3 linked regions of the Drosophila melanogaster genome follow. The protein of the gene in region 2 purifies or fractionates together with the protein of the main gene of each other region. This does not show direct contact. Each region holds a gene or a part of one and is shown on either strand. Other genes may lie near its edges.

What was found. Proteins that work in one complex are often made in the same cells at the same time.
Region 1: the proteins of Ctps (region 2) and Pdcd4 purify together in Drosophila melanogaster (affinity purification with western blotting, with the first as the bait; one study listed by BioGRID). This does not show direct contact.
Region 3: the proteins of Ctps (region 2) and Catsup purify together in Drosophila melanogaster (affinity purification with western blotting, with the first as the bait; one study listed by BioGRID). This does not show direct contact.

The regions. Positions count from the first base shown.
Region 1 is NC_004354.4:13,752,060-13,757,398, reverse strand, and holds the start of Pdcd4 (programmed cell death 4), read left to right. Parts: upstream 1-1,992; 5' UTR 1,993-2,146; exon of another isoform or gene 2,147-2,569; intron 2,570-5,339. Other genes in the region: Rtc1, read right to left, coding at 1-128; CG32625 (uncharacterized protein), read left to right, coding at 639-815, 884-1,141.
Region 2 is NT_037436.4:15,095,653-15,100,986, forward strand, and holds the start of Ctps (CTP synthase), read left to right. Parts: upstream 1-2,261; 5' UTR 2,262-2,698; coding exon 2,699-2,864; intron 2,865-2,881; exon of another isoform or gene 2,882-3,135; intron 3,136-3,191; exon of another isoform or gene 3,192-3,213; intron 3,214-3,608; exon of another isoform or gene 3,609-3,850; intron 3,851-4,401; exon of another isoform or gene 4,402-4,988; intron 4,989-5,334. Other genes in the region: GlyRS (Glycyl-tRNA synthetase), read left to right, coding at 1-1,907. UniProt on the Drosophila melanogaster protein: Catalyzes the ATP-dependent amination of UTP to CTP with either L-glutamine or ammonia as the source of nitrogen. Constitutes the rate-limiting enzyme in the synthesis of cytosine nucleotides.
Region 3 is NT_033779.5:19,040,163-19,044,461, reverse strand, and holds Catsup (catecholamines up), read right to left. Parts: upstream 2,601-4,299; 5' UTR 2,517-2,600; coding exon 2,138-2,516; intron 2,083-2,137; coding exon 1,112-2,082; 3' UTR 848-1,111; downstream 1-847. Other genes in the region: Ttc19 (tetratricopeptide repeat domain 19), read left to right, coding at 1-92, 145-308, 379-526, 579-842; mib2 (mind bomb 2), read right to left, coding at 3,340-4,299.

The sequences.
Region 1 (5,339 bases), on a different chromosome or scaffold from region 2:
TCGTCCTCCGAACGGATTTGGCTGATCTTCACCGGTTTGCCGGACAGGCAGGCGAGGATTAGGCGCTGCTTGAGGAAGTTGCTGCCGCGGTAAATCAGGCAATTGCCCTCCTGGGCAATGGGCGGCATTTTATAGGCTCTAAACGCACCAATAAATCAAAGAATTTAGCAAATTGATCGGCGCACGTGCGTTAAAAGAGGTAAACAACGTCTATCGCCGGACTATCGGTTATCGATATAGAACACAGTATGGCAGCGCTCCTTAGGGCTGTCAAGTGTTGGAATTATCGCATTTAGTAAATAACATAATAAATTATTTACAAATGAATATATTTCAGAATGCATTTTTATAATTTACACAAGCACTGCAAACAATCGAACGTTTGTATTTTTATATTATTATTTTAAGAAAAAAAAATACTGCAAGCTTCTATTAAAAATACCAAACGCTGTAGGAGATTTGAATAGAATTGTTGTTGCGAAATTCTCTGCTCATTTTGAAAAAAATACTGCAAGCTTCTATTAAAAATACCAAACGCTGTAGGAGATTTGAATAGAATTGTTGTTGCGAAATTCTATGCTCACTTTGAAGTTGACGAAGGGGAAGTTCGCAGAAGGCGAACAAAACTAGTTGTAAAAATGTCTGCGGATCCAAAACTTTATGAATATGTCAATTGTCCCAACTCTAGCTCGCATTTGGTAATGCTGTTTAAAATGCCCTACCATTTGCCGCTTTGTGCCAAGAAATTTCCATCGGACGAATTAGCTCGCTGTCCATATAACAGAACCCATATGTACCCTATTGCCGATATATATGTAGGTTATGAATATATATTATATGTATGTAAGCAAATATTAAATTCAATTGTTTATCCCATTTGCAGGAACATATCATCAAGTGCCCGAGCTACTTACGCGAGGAGAGCCACAGCGACGCAAAAGAAGATGCCAAGGACTGTGATGCCAAGGAAAGTGATGCCAAGGACTGGGATGCCGACCCGCCGGTTTCGACATATGATCCGAATATCCACTGTGAGAAGAACCCTATCATTCGTCGTCTGCACGGAGCTACGCGCTCCTCTCGCCGGGCATTCCGCGAAAAGGAACGCAAGCGATTAATGGATTTGAATACTTTTCCTTAATCTATGAACATACTTACTTACTTACATACATCATATGAATACATACATATACATATACAACATACATACAAATAAACATATTTCATACATTTCGAAAAAGGAGCGTTTTATGTTAGCATAGATCAGCGTTTATTTAAAAATGTATTCAAATTAAAAATTAATAAGAGTTAATTCAAGGAATCTTCAACATATAATTTCATAAATATTCATATGGTAATTAAAATTACAAATAAGAGAGCCACAATTGGCGGCAATTTTGTTTTTTTTTTTTGCTTTCTGCCGCCACTTGGAAATGTACAGCAATTCCTGTTCAATATTTACTTCGTTTTCTTTTGCATCGCTTTCTGCCGCCAATTGGAAATGTGCTGCAATTTGGGTTATGTAGCTGCCCGCCCTGTTCAAAAATTCCTGGAAAATAAGATTTTACTGAATTGAATGTTTTTAAATCTTGATAAAAAGGTAAGATCATTGGGCGAGTATATATATACATCCAGTGAGTGTGTAAATAAAGTAATGTTTCATTGTTTTTACTAAATATGCATATGTTTGCTTGTATGCATTTCTTTCCTTTTTCTTTTAAAAACTACTTCTCTGAGATGCCACTCTGTTGGACCATTCCCAGAAGCCATCAAAATTCAATAAGTTTCGTTTATCTTAGTTTTCCTCATAGGCAGGCTTACTACATAGGATTGAATTTGTATTTACATATATTTGCAAACTTTTTAATAAACTTCCCCGTTTTAAGGGGAAGCTTCGCCAAGTGCGCTTTTATAACCCACCACCTTACCAGAATCGAACAGTCTGGCAGCACGGTCTCGCCGAAAAAGTATAAAAACCCACGTCTCGTCGCTCTCTGGTTCAGTCGAGTTGAGTTTTCACGGCGTGAACAACAGTGTGCGTTATTGGTTCCTTATTCTGCGGTTCTTCAATCCTTTTTGTTCCAATCCTACTGAAAAAGAAATCAAAAGTTCACATCGTTAAGCGGCAAAAACAACAAAAGCGAAGGTGAATAAGGCATAAAAAACAGCACACGCAACTGAATAGTTGTGGGTGTGCGAGTGTGTGTATGCGCGTGTGAAGGAGCCTTTTAGTAAACACTCACACACTTGTGTATTTTTTTTCTGTGAGACACAAGATATTTGAGTGCATTTTTTGCCATTTGCCTTGCCAACCCCTCTCCCCCGCACGCATATAAGAAGAGAAAGAGAGGCAGGGAAAAAATAAAGGAGCCCACGAAGAAAAGCAACAACTATTAAACAGGCTCCTCATCGTATAAAAGCAGCGCAGCCGCCGTCAACGTCAACTGCAGTGGGCCAACGTCGTTGCAGTCGTGTCGTTAGTTTTTGTTCTTGTTGCAGCAGCAGCATCAAAGACAGAAGTAGAGAGAGCGAGCGAAACAGCCGGAGAGACAAAACAAAAAGCACTTAGGTAAGTGGCAAAATAAAAAAAAACGCAGAAACAGCAGCAGCAGCAACAACAACATCGATCTTGACGAAGACCAATTCAAAGAAGCAAGCGAAAAAAACTGCCGGCGAATGCGAATATAAAAGCAAAAACGAAATTACAGTCGCGGTCACAAAATTATGCCATATTAGATGATTTCAATAAAAATAGGTGAAATTTAAGAATTTGTTGATGCGCGTTATTTGCTCCAATTGGAAAACGTTGGTCTACGTGATAAAATCAACCGGCACACACGCACGCACCCGAAAATTCGAGAAAAACTGAAACGAGGAAAGCCGAAACCGAAAAAAAAAACAGCTGCCCACATTGGATGGGGGGTGAATTTGTTTGTTTTTTTTTCTGCCTGCCAAACTTGTTCCTTAGGCTTTTTGATTTTATTTTCGTTGTCTCGAGGTTTATTTGCATTCGGCGCCCCGTCCAATGTTTCCATGTCATCCGATTTTGTTTTCCCATATTATCTACCAGAATTGCTGGCTCACAGTGGTGGTACAATTCACTCTGCATAATTAACGATTATTTAAGTATTTAACAAAATCAGATGCAAATGCAATATGACCTAAAGTATAATATGACTCCAAACCCGAGATGTGTTATTAGAAGGGTTCTGGACGGGGAATTTTGCAAACAATTCCAGGCAAAATACAAAAAAATTTCAATTTTTCTGGTTACTGGATGCCAAACAAATACAGTTCTCAGTTTATAAAAGGCATAACAAAACCATCAAATTTATTCTGTAGTTTCAAAAAGAGTGGGTGACACAAATTGGTTTTTAATTTCTTTTATATCTATTTATGCAATTCATGTGCGCCTAATAGTTCGATCTCTTCTGTTAAAAAAAACAAACAACAGCATTCAATGGTGAGAACGTCTCTGCTTCTTTTTCTTGTTCTTTTTATTGGACATTGCTTATGTATTTTATTTTTTGCGAAATGTTTGCGACGCAATTTCGACAGCGTCACTTTATTTTTATGCTCTTTTCCATCGCTCCTCTTTATCTCTCTCTCCACTTCTTACAAACTCAACCTTTTCCTGATTTCGGGGTTAAAAAATAATTTCGGACACGCATCAATAAAAAGCGCGAAGGTGGAAAAGAGATTCGAAAAAAATGCTGAAAAGCGTTCATTTTGTTATTTCTGTTGTTGTTGTTATCCGAAAAAGGGGGCACAACAAGTGCGAAAGAAGGAGATGAAGAATCAGATGAGAAAGAGACCGGAAGGAGACGGCAATAAAAACATAGAAATTCGTGAGGCGCACAAAATTTTCAAGGTTATACCGGGCAAAACAAACATAAGACCGGTAACAGCATATGTATATGTATGTACATCCATATTACAGAGGGGGAAATACATAAGAATCCGCGTTTAAAGAAGAGGAGAAAGCACAAGCGGCGCAATATAAAAAGCACTCAAAAAACAAAAACAACACATGAAAACACAAAAAAAAAAACAACACATGCGGCTCTTTTTTGCACGTTATCTTTGTTTTCATTTGTATTATGCTGACATCTATATGTACATGGATGAAAGAATTGTATGAGAAGAGTGCCAAATCGACAATTTTACAACCGAAAATTGCGATAATTAATCAGAAAAGTTTATCAAACGAATGTACATAATTTAAATAAATCATATTATGTATTCGTGTTGGTTTGTTTGATTTGATTTTATACATATTTATGTTTGTGCTATATAGCATTTAAATTAAAAGTGCAAAACAGCATAAAAACATTTCAAATAAATAGGGAAAACAAAAGCAGCTGGAAAAGTAAAACATGTGTATGTATGTAGGCACTTATGTACACCAAAAGCAATTACATAGGCATGGAAATACAAGCAACTTTCAATTTAGAGTTAGTGCGAAGGAGACGGCTATATTGCTTGTGGGGGTTGCAAAGCTTTAACGGTAACAAAATTATGTAGTAGCTTTGGTGTTGTTGTTGTTGCGTGACCTTGAATTTCGTCTATAGGGGAGTTTCGATACATGTCCCTATCGCTATCCCTGTCACACCCACGCCCATTGACAAACATTTGCAATTTCCAAGACGCAGTACCGTTATTATATACAGATGCGGTCAAAAAAATGGCGCGAAAGCTGAACATATTATTATGGGTATATCTTAAAAATGAAAACCTAGAAACTTTTTGCAAAATTGTTAGCACTTACAAAAAAAAATCCGTAAAATAGCGACCCCAGTCATTTGTACATAGTATATATTGACTTCTGATCTTGTCATTACAATTACTTTGTATTATTGTGAGCATTAAATTTATGGGCATGCCAAAGAGCTTGTTCTATATTTAGGCAAAAACTATTAGATTTGAATAGCCCGAAAAAGAAACCTAACTGAACTTGGAAAGAAGGGGTTTCTGAGGGGCCATTGTCGGCTACGTGCCAGACATCATGTGTATTTATTTTAGTTCCATGTTTTTCACAGCCGCGACGCGCACAATAAACAAGTAAAACTTTCGCTGACTAACATCCCGTCTTTAAGGCGAGACATGTAAAATATACAAACGAAGGCGTTTCCTAAGAACAGTGACACCAAACCACGCCATCAACGTTCTCTATCTCTTCTATATGTACATATGTTTTCCTAAAGTTTCAAGTTTCATAATTGCACCGAAGACCCGACCCATTGCTTTAAACGATTAAATTGCATATTCGTAATCAAATTTGTTGTAGTTTTGCTTATTTTTCTGTTGATGCTTGATGCTTTAATGTTAACCAATAACCA
Region 2 (5,334 bases):
AGGCACGCAAGAAGCTGCTGGAGGACAAAGAGCTCGCCCTGACCCCCAGTGTCGTTAGTTTCGATCGCGCGAAGATGGAGGATCTACTCAAGCGTCGCTTCTTCTACGACCAGAGTTTCGCAATTTATGGCGGCATCACCGGCCAGTACGATTTTGGACCCATGGGCTGTGCCCTCAAGTCCAACATTCTGGCCCTATGGCGTCAGTATTTCGCCCTCGAAGAGCAAATGCTGGAGGTGGACTGCTCTATTCTGACTCCCGAACCTGTGCTCAAAGCCTCTGGTCATGTGGAGCGTTTCGCTGATCTGATGGTCAAGGATGTCAAGACCGGCGAGTGCTTCCGCCTGGATCATCTCATTAAGCAGGCTTTGGAAAAGCTATCTAAGGCCAAGGATGCAACTCCCGCCCTGCAGGCCGAGTGTGAGGATATTATCATTAAACTGGATGGCCTGAACAAACAGGAATTGGCTGGTGTCCTGGCCAAATACAACATCAAATCTCCATTAACCGGCAATGATTTAACAGAACCGATTGAGTTCAACCTGATGTTTGCCACCCAAATTGGACCCACTGGCTTGGTCAAGGGATTCCTGCGGCCCGAAACTGCCCAGGGTATCTTCGTCAACTTCAAGCGACTGCTGGAATTCAATCAAGGCAAGCTTCCCTTCGCTGTGGCTCAAATTGGCAACTCCTTCCGCAATGAAATCTCACCCCGATCGGGATTGATCCGTGTGCGAGAGTTCACCATGGCAGAGATTGAACATTTCTGTGATCCCGTGCTCAAGGACCATCCCAAATTTGGCAACATCAAATCGGAAAAGTTGACCCTTTACTCGGCGTGCAACCAGATGGATGGAAAGTCTGCCGCTCAGGTGCAAATCGGCGAAGCAGTGGCATCCAAACTGGTGGCTAATGAGACACTTGGTTACTATATGGCCCGCATTCAGCAGTTCCTGTTGGCCATTGGTATCAAACCGGAGTGCTTGCGATTCCGGCAGCACATGTCCAATGAGATGGCTCACTATGCATGCGATTGCTGGGATGCCGAAATTCTTACCTCCTACGGATGGGTGGAGTGCGTAGGATGTGCGGATCGCAGTGCCTACGATTTGGGACAGCATACGGCCGCCACAGGTGTGCGTTTGGTGGCCGAGAAGCGTCTGCCGGCTCCCAAAACGGTCGAGGTCAGCGAGATTGTGCCAAACAAGCAGGCTCTCGGAAAGACCTTCAAGAAGGAGGCAAAGAACATCACGGATGCGTTGGCTAAGCTTTCGCTGGAGGAGATAACCAAGGTAGAGGAACAGCTGGCTGGCGATGGTCAATACAAACTGACCACGGCCGATGGCCAAAGCCACGATCTCGGAAAGGACACCATCAGCGTTAAGCACTCTACGAAAACGGTCCATGTGGAGGAGTTCATCCCGAGTGTGGTTGAGCCTTCATTCGGCATTGGTCGCATCATGTACTCCCTGTTGGAGCACAGTTTCCAATGCCGCGACGGCGACGAGCAGCGGTGCTACTTTACGCTACCGCCTCTGGTGGCGCCCATCAAGTGCTCCATCCTTCCGCTGTCCAACAACACCGACTTTCAACCTTATACTCAGAAACTGTCTTCTGCCCTGACCAAGGCGGAACTTTCGCACAAGGTGGACGACTCCAGTGGATCCATTGGCAGGCGGTATGCCCGCACGGATGAGATTGCCATACCCTATGGCATCACCGTGGACTTCGACACTCTAAAGGAACCGCATACGGTGACTCTGCGAGATCGGAATACTATGAAACAGGTGCGCGTCGGTCTGGAGGAGGTTGTGGGCGTCGTCAAGGACTTGTCGACGGCGAGAACCACCTGGGAGAGTGTCACCGAACAGTATCCTCTGTTCGAACAGCAGGAGGCCAGCAAGTAACTGGTTGATCAAGGAGTTTCTTTCGCTTGGCACGCATTTACAGAGTTTCAAAGTTTTCTTATTTTTGTATAAATAAAATTCAATAATTCAATAATTTCTTATAAAATTCAATAAATATGCAACATTTAATGCTTTGCGCTTTGAAATGGGAGTGTGTTTATCTTCAATATGAATTTGATGTTTATTTTCAAAAAATATTTTTTCTCGGTGAAATTTCTTTTTAAATTATTTAATATAATTTTAAATATGCACATTTAAAGTTGTTTGGATCTATGACAATTCAAATTTACCGGATATTATGATTTATTTACACTTAAAATTGGTAATATAAAACGTGAAATTCCTTTTAAAAACGCAAACTATACACAAAGAGTAAAAATATAAACAAGGGAAAGTAATACGAATTATAGGCCATTTTTTCTTTAGATTTAAATCGCAAGTTTCCAAATAAATATGTAACCAGTCCTCACTGCTATGCTAAAATTACATTTGATTCTTGTTTATTTTTGCGGGAACTCAATTTTAATGCATAGGAAACCGCGCGGTTTTTGTGACGTTTAACAACACACGGTGAGTCACTGGTATTCTCAATGAAATGAGCGGTGGTCATACCATAAATACGTATGAGATATTAAACGAATCCAATTTCTAAAACCACGTGCAGCAAAGGCAAATAAACAATAAATTGTGGCTCGGATTGCCTCAGATTGAGTGTCCACCGCGAATTGAACCGATAACACGATAATCCTCCACATTTGGTGATCCCAAAGATTGACATTCGAGACGAAAGGATGAAATACATCCTGGTAACTGGTGGCGTCATTAGTGGCGTGGGAAAAGGAGTGATTGCCTCCTCGTTCGGAACGCTTTTGAAATCCTGTGGTCTGGATGTAACCTCGATCAAGATTGACCCCTATATCAATATAGATGCTGGAACCTTTTCGCCTTATGAGCATGGTGAGTTTTCAAGAGGTCTTCCCATTATTTTATATGGTGTCTATAGTATGTCTTGCTTTCGACATTCGAAAAATGTCTGGTCTCTTATTTTGGCAATTTTTCAATATTTTGCCCATCTGTGCGAGTGTAAGTGTGCGGCGAGTGTCAGTATGTGCATCTATTGTTGTAAGACTATTGTTGTTGTAAAGCCACGCGTCTGGTTATAACCACATGGTGTGAGGTGACGGAAAAGGAGAGAGCGGTGTGGCGCTCTCCCGCCAAAATAAATAATCTGAGCAAAAACAAACGTTTAATAACAAATAAATAAAGTAACAATACATCACTTACGATATGGGAAAACTTTTCAAATCTATAAAGACAATAATATATAATAATAATTATTCAATAATAAATGTAAAGTGAAACTAAATTTTACGATTTGTTTAATTTGATTTAATACAGGGTGCTTATAAAAAGAATGAGATGGTATCAAAATCGCATTTAAAGTAAATGGTAAAACTGTTTTTCTCAGTGTAAATAAACAAGAGGATGTGTAACAGAGATGCATAGAAAGGCAGTCGTCAGCTGTTTTTCATGCTCTCTATTTCTCTCGCTCTCTGATAACCAGCAACAATTGCACGTGTTCTTGAATCTTTGAGTCGGAAATCGAAAAGAAATTAACGCTTTTTCTGCTGGCAACAGAGATAGCAAGCAATTGCTACCAATGCTCATGCTCTTGTACAATGAAAGTTAGATCTCTCTCACCTTCTTCCTTTCTCTTTCTTAATCCCGCTCTTTGTTTTTGGCTCTCTCATCACAAAATTGCCTCCCCCAACCGGCAGACGTTTTTATTGTTGCTTGACATTGAAAATGAAAGTTTTTTCTGTCCGTTTCACTTGCTCTGCCTTGCTGGTTATTTTCTTATTTTTGTTTTGCTTTCCTTTTTTGCCTCTGTTAGTGGAGAAGGGAAACTTTTCACACAGGCGCACTTCTAATAAATTGAAACTGATCCGAACCCACTGGCGGCTCAATTATAACTGACAAATAGAACTTATTGTTCCTTACTTACATTTAATGATACCGTGTGAGTTGGGAAATTTATTTTATCTCTCTCTTTTTATTTACAATACGAAATTGATTGTACTCTCTTGCACTTTCTCACTGATCCGTTTTACTCACTCTGTACTTCCCCTGGCAAGTTGATGATAGCTACAATAACAACAACGTTTAATAAATAAACGGCAGCAGCGACACACACTTGCAAATTTATTTATACAACGTGCCAATGCAATTACTATGCGTTTATTTGCATGCGTGTGTGTGCGAGTGTGTTTGGGTGGTGGGCGCCTACCACTGTGCGTATGTGTGTGCGACATGTGCCGCAGCGTTGACCTGCAGGATTTGCTTGGCCGCTCTGCGCGTGCGATTAAATACATATGTATTTATGTAGTAACTTAAAGCGAAAGCAAAAAAAAATGTCGGTAGACAACGTTCTATCACAAAAATGGATTTTATAATATATTTAATGATCATTTAATGATCTGCCCGACAGGGGCTTCGGATAGGATGAGATGGGTACGTATGGGTATTGGTCCTCCACAGTACCAGGTCCCATCACATCGAATCGGATCGGATGGGTTTTGATCGGAGAAAAGAGGAACCCGTTTTGCGGCATTTTGATTTATAGGCGACTTATGCACTTGGCAGCCGCGGTGGGAGTGGAACTCGCAGCTGAGATGACACGTCTGACCGAATTCATAAGCGGACATCTGGCCAGGGTGCATTATATATTACACGGTATACATATCATAAGCTAAGCCTCGACGGGCACGGGAATTTCAATATTATATCGTGTACGCTAGGCGCCCTCACAATGCGGGTCAGCTGGAAAGCATTCGTATTGGTTAGTGTTGAGTGTTATAACACAACGTTCGCCTCTAGGCCTACGCATCGGGCACATCAAACAAGCTGGGCGGGCTTTTGTTGACGGCTGCCTGTTGGATCATCCGCTTGGCCTTCTCCAGGGACAGCTTCACCACCTCGATGATCTCGTCGTCCACGCCGCCGCCACCTATTGCCTTGTCCACATCGGTCACCTAGCAGTAGTACATGGTATGCTTGGCATCCGACGAAACAACTCCAAATCTGCAAAGGATTGAGGTGGGAATGCATTAATACATTTTATTGTGGTTAGTTTATGCGTGAACCAAACGGATACTGTTAATATGATTTTCTAGCCAAACATAAAATAACTAGAAGTATTCGTTCATAATTGAAATGCTTGAATAAAACTTAGATACTTGAACATGTAACAAAGTACTCTTAGTTGGACGGTTTATTAGGTTAGGTTAATATTTACACTTTAATTAATATAAAAGCGTATATCTACACAGTTGCTGAACATATAGTTAAAAAAGGTTATTAAGGTTTTTTTTTTTGGTTTAATACCCCTTGAAATGAAATTATTTAAGTTAAAAGTATTTCTACTCAC
Region 3 (4,299 bases), on a different chromosome or scaffold from region 2:
TGGAACGCGAGCAGTTTAAGAAGGCGGAGAAGATATTCACGGACGTTATGAAACGGCTTTTTGCCGAGGGTCACACCGAAGAGAGTCCCAAGGTGGGTGACCCACTTAGACACCATAACCAGTTAAGATCTCTTTCATCTTTAGATACTTCACATCAGCTCCAAGATAGCACACATGTCTCAGCTGCAAGGGGATCTGGAAAAGAGCTTTCAAGGGTTCACTTGGACCTTGCAGCAGTTGGCTAAGCTACTGGAGAAAATGCCCGACGACAAGGACATACTGGAGCTGTATGGCTTGACAAAGAATTGGTATTGAAGGTGTTTCCATTGCCGCTAACCAAGCCTTTTTTCAATACTTTTCCTTATGTTTATTTTCCAGGTTCGGGCAGCTGCTGATGAAGCAGGGAAAATACCTGGAGGCTAAAAACCTCTTTAAGGAGGCCTTCGACACGCTCATAAATGTTTATGGTGCCGTTAACGACGCCTCTGTAACCATCCTAAATAACATCAGTGTGGCGTACGTAAACGTAGGTGCGTCTATTCTTCCAAAGTACTTGAAACACATTAGACTAATTACAGCTGGAAAAGTACGCCGAGGCAAGGGAGACCCTTTTGGAGGCCATGGAGCTGACTAAGGAGCTAAAGGATGCCACCCAGGAAGGCATTCTGCAGGCAAATCTGGGTTTGGTGTATCTTCGCGAGGGCCTGATGTCGCAGGCGGAGAACGCTTGCCGACTGGCGTGGAAACTGGGAAAGCAACACCAGAATCCCGATGCCGTAGAGCAGGCCGAGTATTGTCTCAACGAGATAAAGACAACCCTGAATGGAGAGAAGCGCCAGTGAGGATTCTTTTTACAGTGTAATTTTGACTATTTATAAAAATTTCATTTCGAAGTGAAGCACAAATTTGGAAGGCTTAAAAAATCTTAAATAACGCCGCATTGTTTATATTGGGAACTAATAGCGGTTACTGACTGTTGAAATATAAGAAATTTAAGTAGTTGCTCATCGTTTTGAGTAGGTAACGAACAGAAATCTTTCAAATTGTTTGCGGCACACTTTCAGTACATGCAATTAGATCTTTTTTGTGTTAACTTTCCACAATTTTGATATTACTCGAACTTGGCGATAACGATCATTAGGGCTACGCCGGTTAGCAGCGCAAAGATTTCCTTCAGCGACTGTTTCAGTTTCGTAGACTCCTCAAGCAGCTCCGGCAGGACACTCACTGTTGCGATGTAAATAAAACCGCCGGCTGTGAAGGGCAAGACCCATGGGGCCGATCCGTCCCCGCCTCCAGCTCCCAGAAGAGCTAGCGCTGTGCCCGCCAAAGCTCCGAGCGCTGTGACGAGCTGCAGAAGCATTGCCTTTCGCCTGGAACAGCCAGACTTTATAAGAATGGCAAAGTCACCAATCTCATGGGGCACTTCGTGCAGCAGAATAGTGATAGTGGTCACAATGCCAATGCTGTTGCCCGCCAAATAGGAGGCGCCGATGGCCAGGCCATCGGTGAAGTTGTGAGCAAAGTCCGCCGCCAAATTCAAGTAGCCGGAAATCTCCACTTCGCCTTCTGGCTCCGCTTCTGGTTTCTTGGACTTGATCTTGGCTGGCTTTGCCGGTTTGTCTCCATCTCCGCTGTCTTCTTTGTCAGAGGACTTTTTCTTAGCAGGCACTGGTTTTGGCTTTGGTGCTCCATGGCTGTGGCCGTGTCCTCCATGACCGCCCTTTAGAATGCGTACCAGTTTCTCCACTGAAAGGAAGGCAATGATTCCTCCAAGGACCCACAGACCAATGCTCATATCGTGGCTGTGACCATGTTCATGCTCCTCGCCATCATGATGATGATGGTGATCATGGCCGTGATCGTGGCCGTGTTCTCCATGACTGTGTGGATGCGTGGCATGAGGAATCAAGTGCAGAAAGGCATCACCCAACAAACCGCCAGAAGCAAAGGCCAGAAGCACTTTGAGACGCGGCTTCATCGCCTCACTGTTGTCTAGGGGAATGATATACAGCAGCACGAAGGGAGCGGCACTGATAAGAAGAGTTGAGCCGATCGAGTGCAACCAAATGGTGCTCATATCTATAAGAAATTTGGGTCAACTCGGGCATTTTAAGAGTGGTAGTTCGTTGATTACCCAAATCCGGCTTTGCCTTGGTGTGCCTTTCATCGTGCCCGTGATGATGGTGTCCGTGGTCGTGGTCATGATCATGATCGTGCCCGTGATGATGGTGTCCATGATCATGCCCGTGGTCGTGGTCATGATCATGATCGTGCCCGTGGTGGTGGTGTCCATGATCGTGGTCATGATCATGATGATGATGGTGCTCCGCCCGTGGAGCCTTCTGCGGATCGAAGTTTTCGTTGGCTTCCCGCGAGTATTTGAAACTGGGATTGCCCTGGCCGGCGCACAACGCCGGGAGCGAGAAAAGCACTGCTCCCAGGATTACGACCAGTGCCAGCTTTTGGTACAACTGGAGCTTACTGCACTGGTAATCAGCCACTTGTTTGGCCATTTTGTCCTTTACTTTAGTTTCGCGTCGGACTGCGGCCAAAGTGTTGTGACGTGTTTGCTTTTTTTCTGGCTACGTTGTTATCGATTAGCGTGTAAATCTGGAGGTATCGATTGTTTCGCTCAAATAAAAAATAAACTTGTGTATATTTTCAATTATAAGTTGTACTTTGCCGCTTTTGCTTACATTAACTTTTAAACGGAGCTTAAGATCCGACAGCTTGCCAAGTCAATGCTTACAAAAATGCAAAACATTTAAAATTTATGCAGCGTACTGAAAGAAAATAACTTGTTCACACTTTGCCGTTACAACATTTCAGTTTTAAAATCTTTCTAAACTTATTATATATTCAATTTTAAACTAAACCTTTTAAATACCAATACAATTAAAAGTCACCCCAGCATATTCAGAAATAAAGTATCTTTATTTTCTGTAGGCTAACCACCGACATCGATTGAAATTCACTCAATTAAATAATTTTATATTTGTATATTTGCATTTAAATGACTATTAAATATTTGTATGCTTTAGTTAGTTTCCTATGTATTTATCGTTACCAGACATGGTTAAACGGGGCTAATAACTAGACACGAGAAGGTGCACATTAATTTGTTGCGTGTTGCGACGATGCCGATGATGAACCGATTAAAAAAGAACTCGTAAATTTCGTTTGTGATCAATAAATAATAATTTCGATTTGCACATGACACGGCAATGTGAGTGTGTGTTTGTTTTGTGTATGTATATATACAAGCCACTTTGGTTGCTGTTTGAATTGCTGCTGATCCTGCCGCCTTTGCTTTTCTTTCGTTTCCGTTACCGCCGTTCAGTACAGGTTGATCTTCTTGAGTATTGTCTTGCGACACATGTGGCATGTGCGGAGCGTTTCGGCACAATGGGAGCACGCGCCGTGCCCGCACAGGAAGGCCACATCCCTTTTTCGCTCCATGCAAATACCGCAGAAGTGCGACTCCTCAAACTCCAGCACTTTGTTCTCCAGATAGCGAAGTAGATCCCCGGACGGTAGGCGAGTGGGGTCACTAGGTGACGACGTGGACGTGGGCAGGGCCACCACTCGGCCGCTGACCGTCAATCGCCGCTCGATCGCCACGGCACAGCGGAGACACTTTTTCATTCGGATGCCGCACTCCTCGCAGGCGATCTGATGCTGACACGGCTCAAAGCGCACCATCGGCAGGATCTCATTGCACACAATGCACTCATGGGGACCGGGGACGATCACCGGACTGGTACTGGGTCCCGCCGCTCCGGCTTCCAACGCGGTACTGCTCGAGCTAGTGGTAACCGGAGGCTTGGGCGCCTTCTTGCGCGGTGCCACCTGTGGAGAGACGTTTTGCGGTGTTGCGTCGGAGTTCAGTTTCTTTACGCCCGGCGAGGCGGAGGGCGTGGATGGAGATGCTCCAACTCCAATGGCTGGGATATCGTTTGGCTTTGGCATTAGTTCAAATGTCTGGCGCTGCGGTGGTGGGGGTGCTGCAACGCTTCCAGGTCCGGCTCCATTGGATTCAGCTCCAGCAGACGCAGAGCTCTCCTCACCGTCGGCTGATCCTGCGGACACTTCCAAAGCTTGAAGATTCCTAGGCAGCGATTCAGCTTCGCCCTGCTGCCCAAAAATCAGTTGCCTGATGTGGCGGTCCGTTATCCACTCAAAAATGCTTGCATTGGCGTTGTTCAGCTCCACTCGGCAGCCGGCCCTCGAAAGATAGATCAATATACTGTACATCAAACGATCCTCAGGACGAATGCTCGAGTGTACTAGACTCAG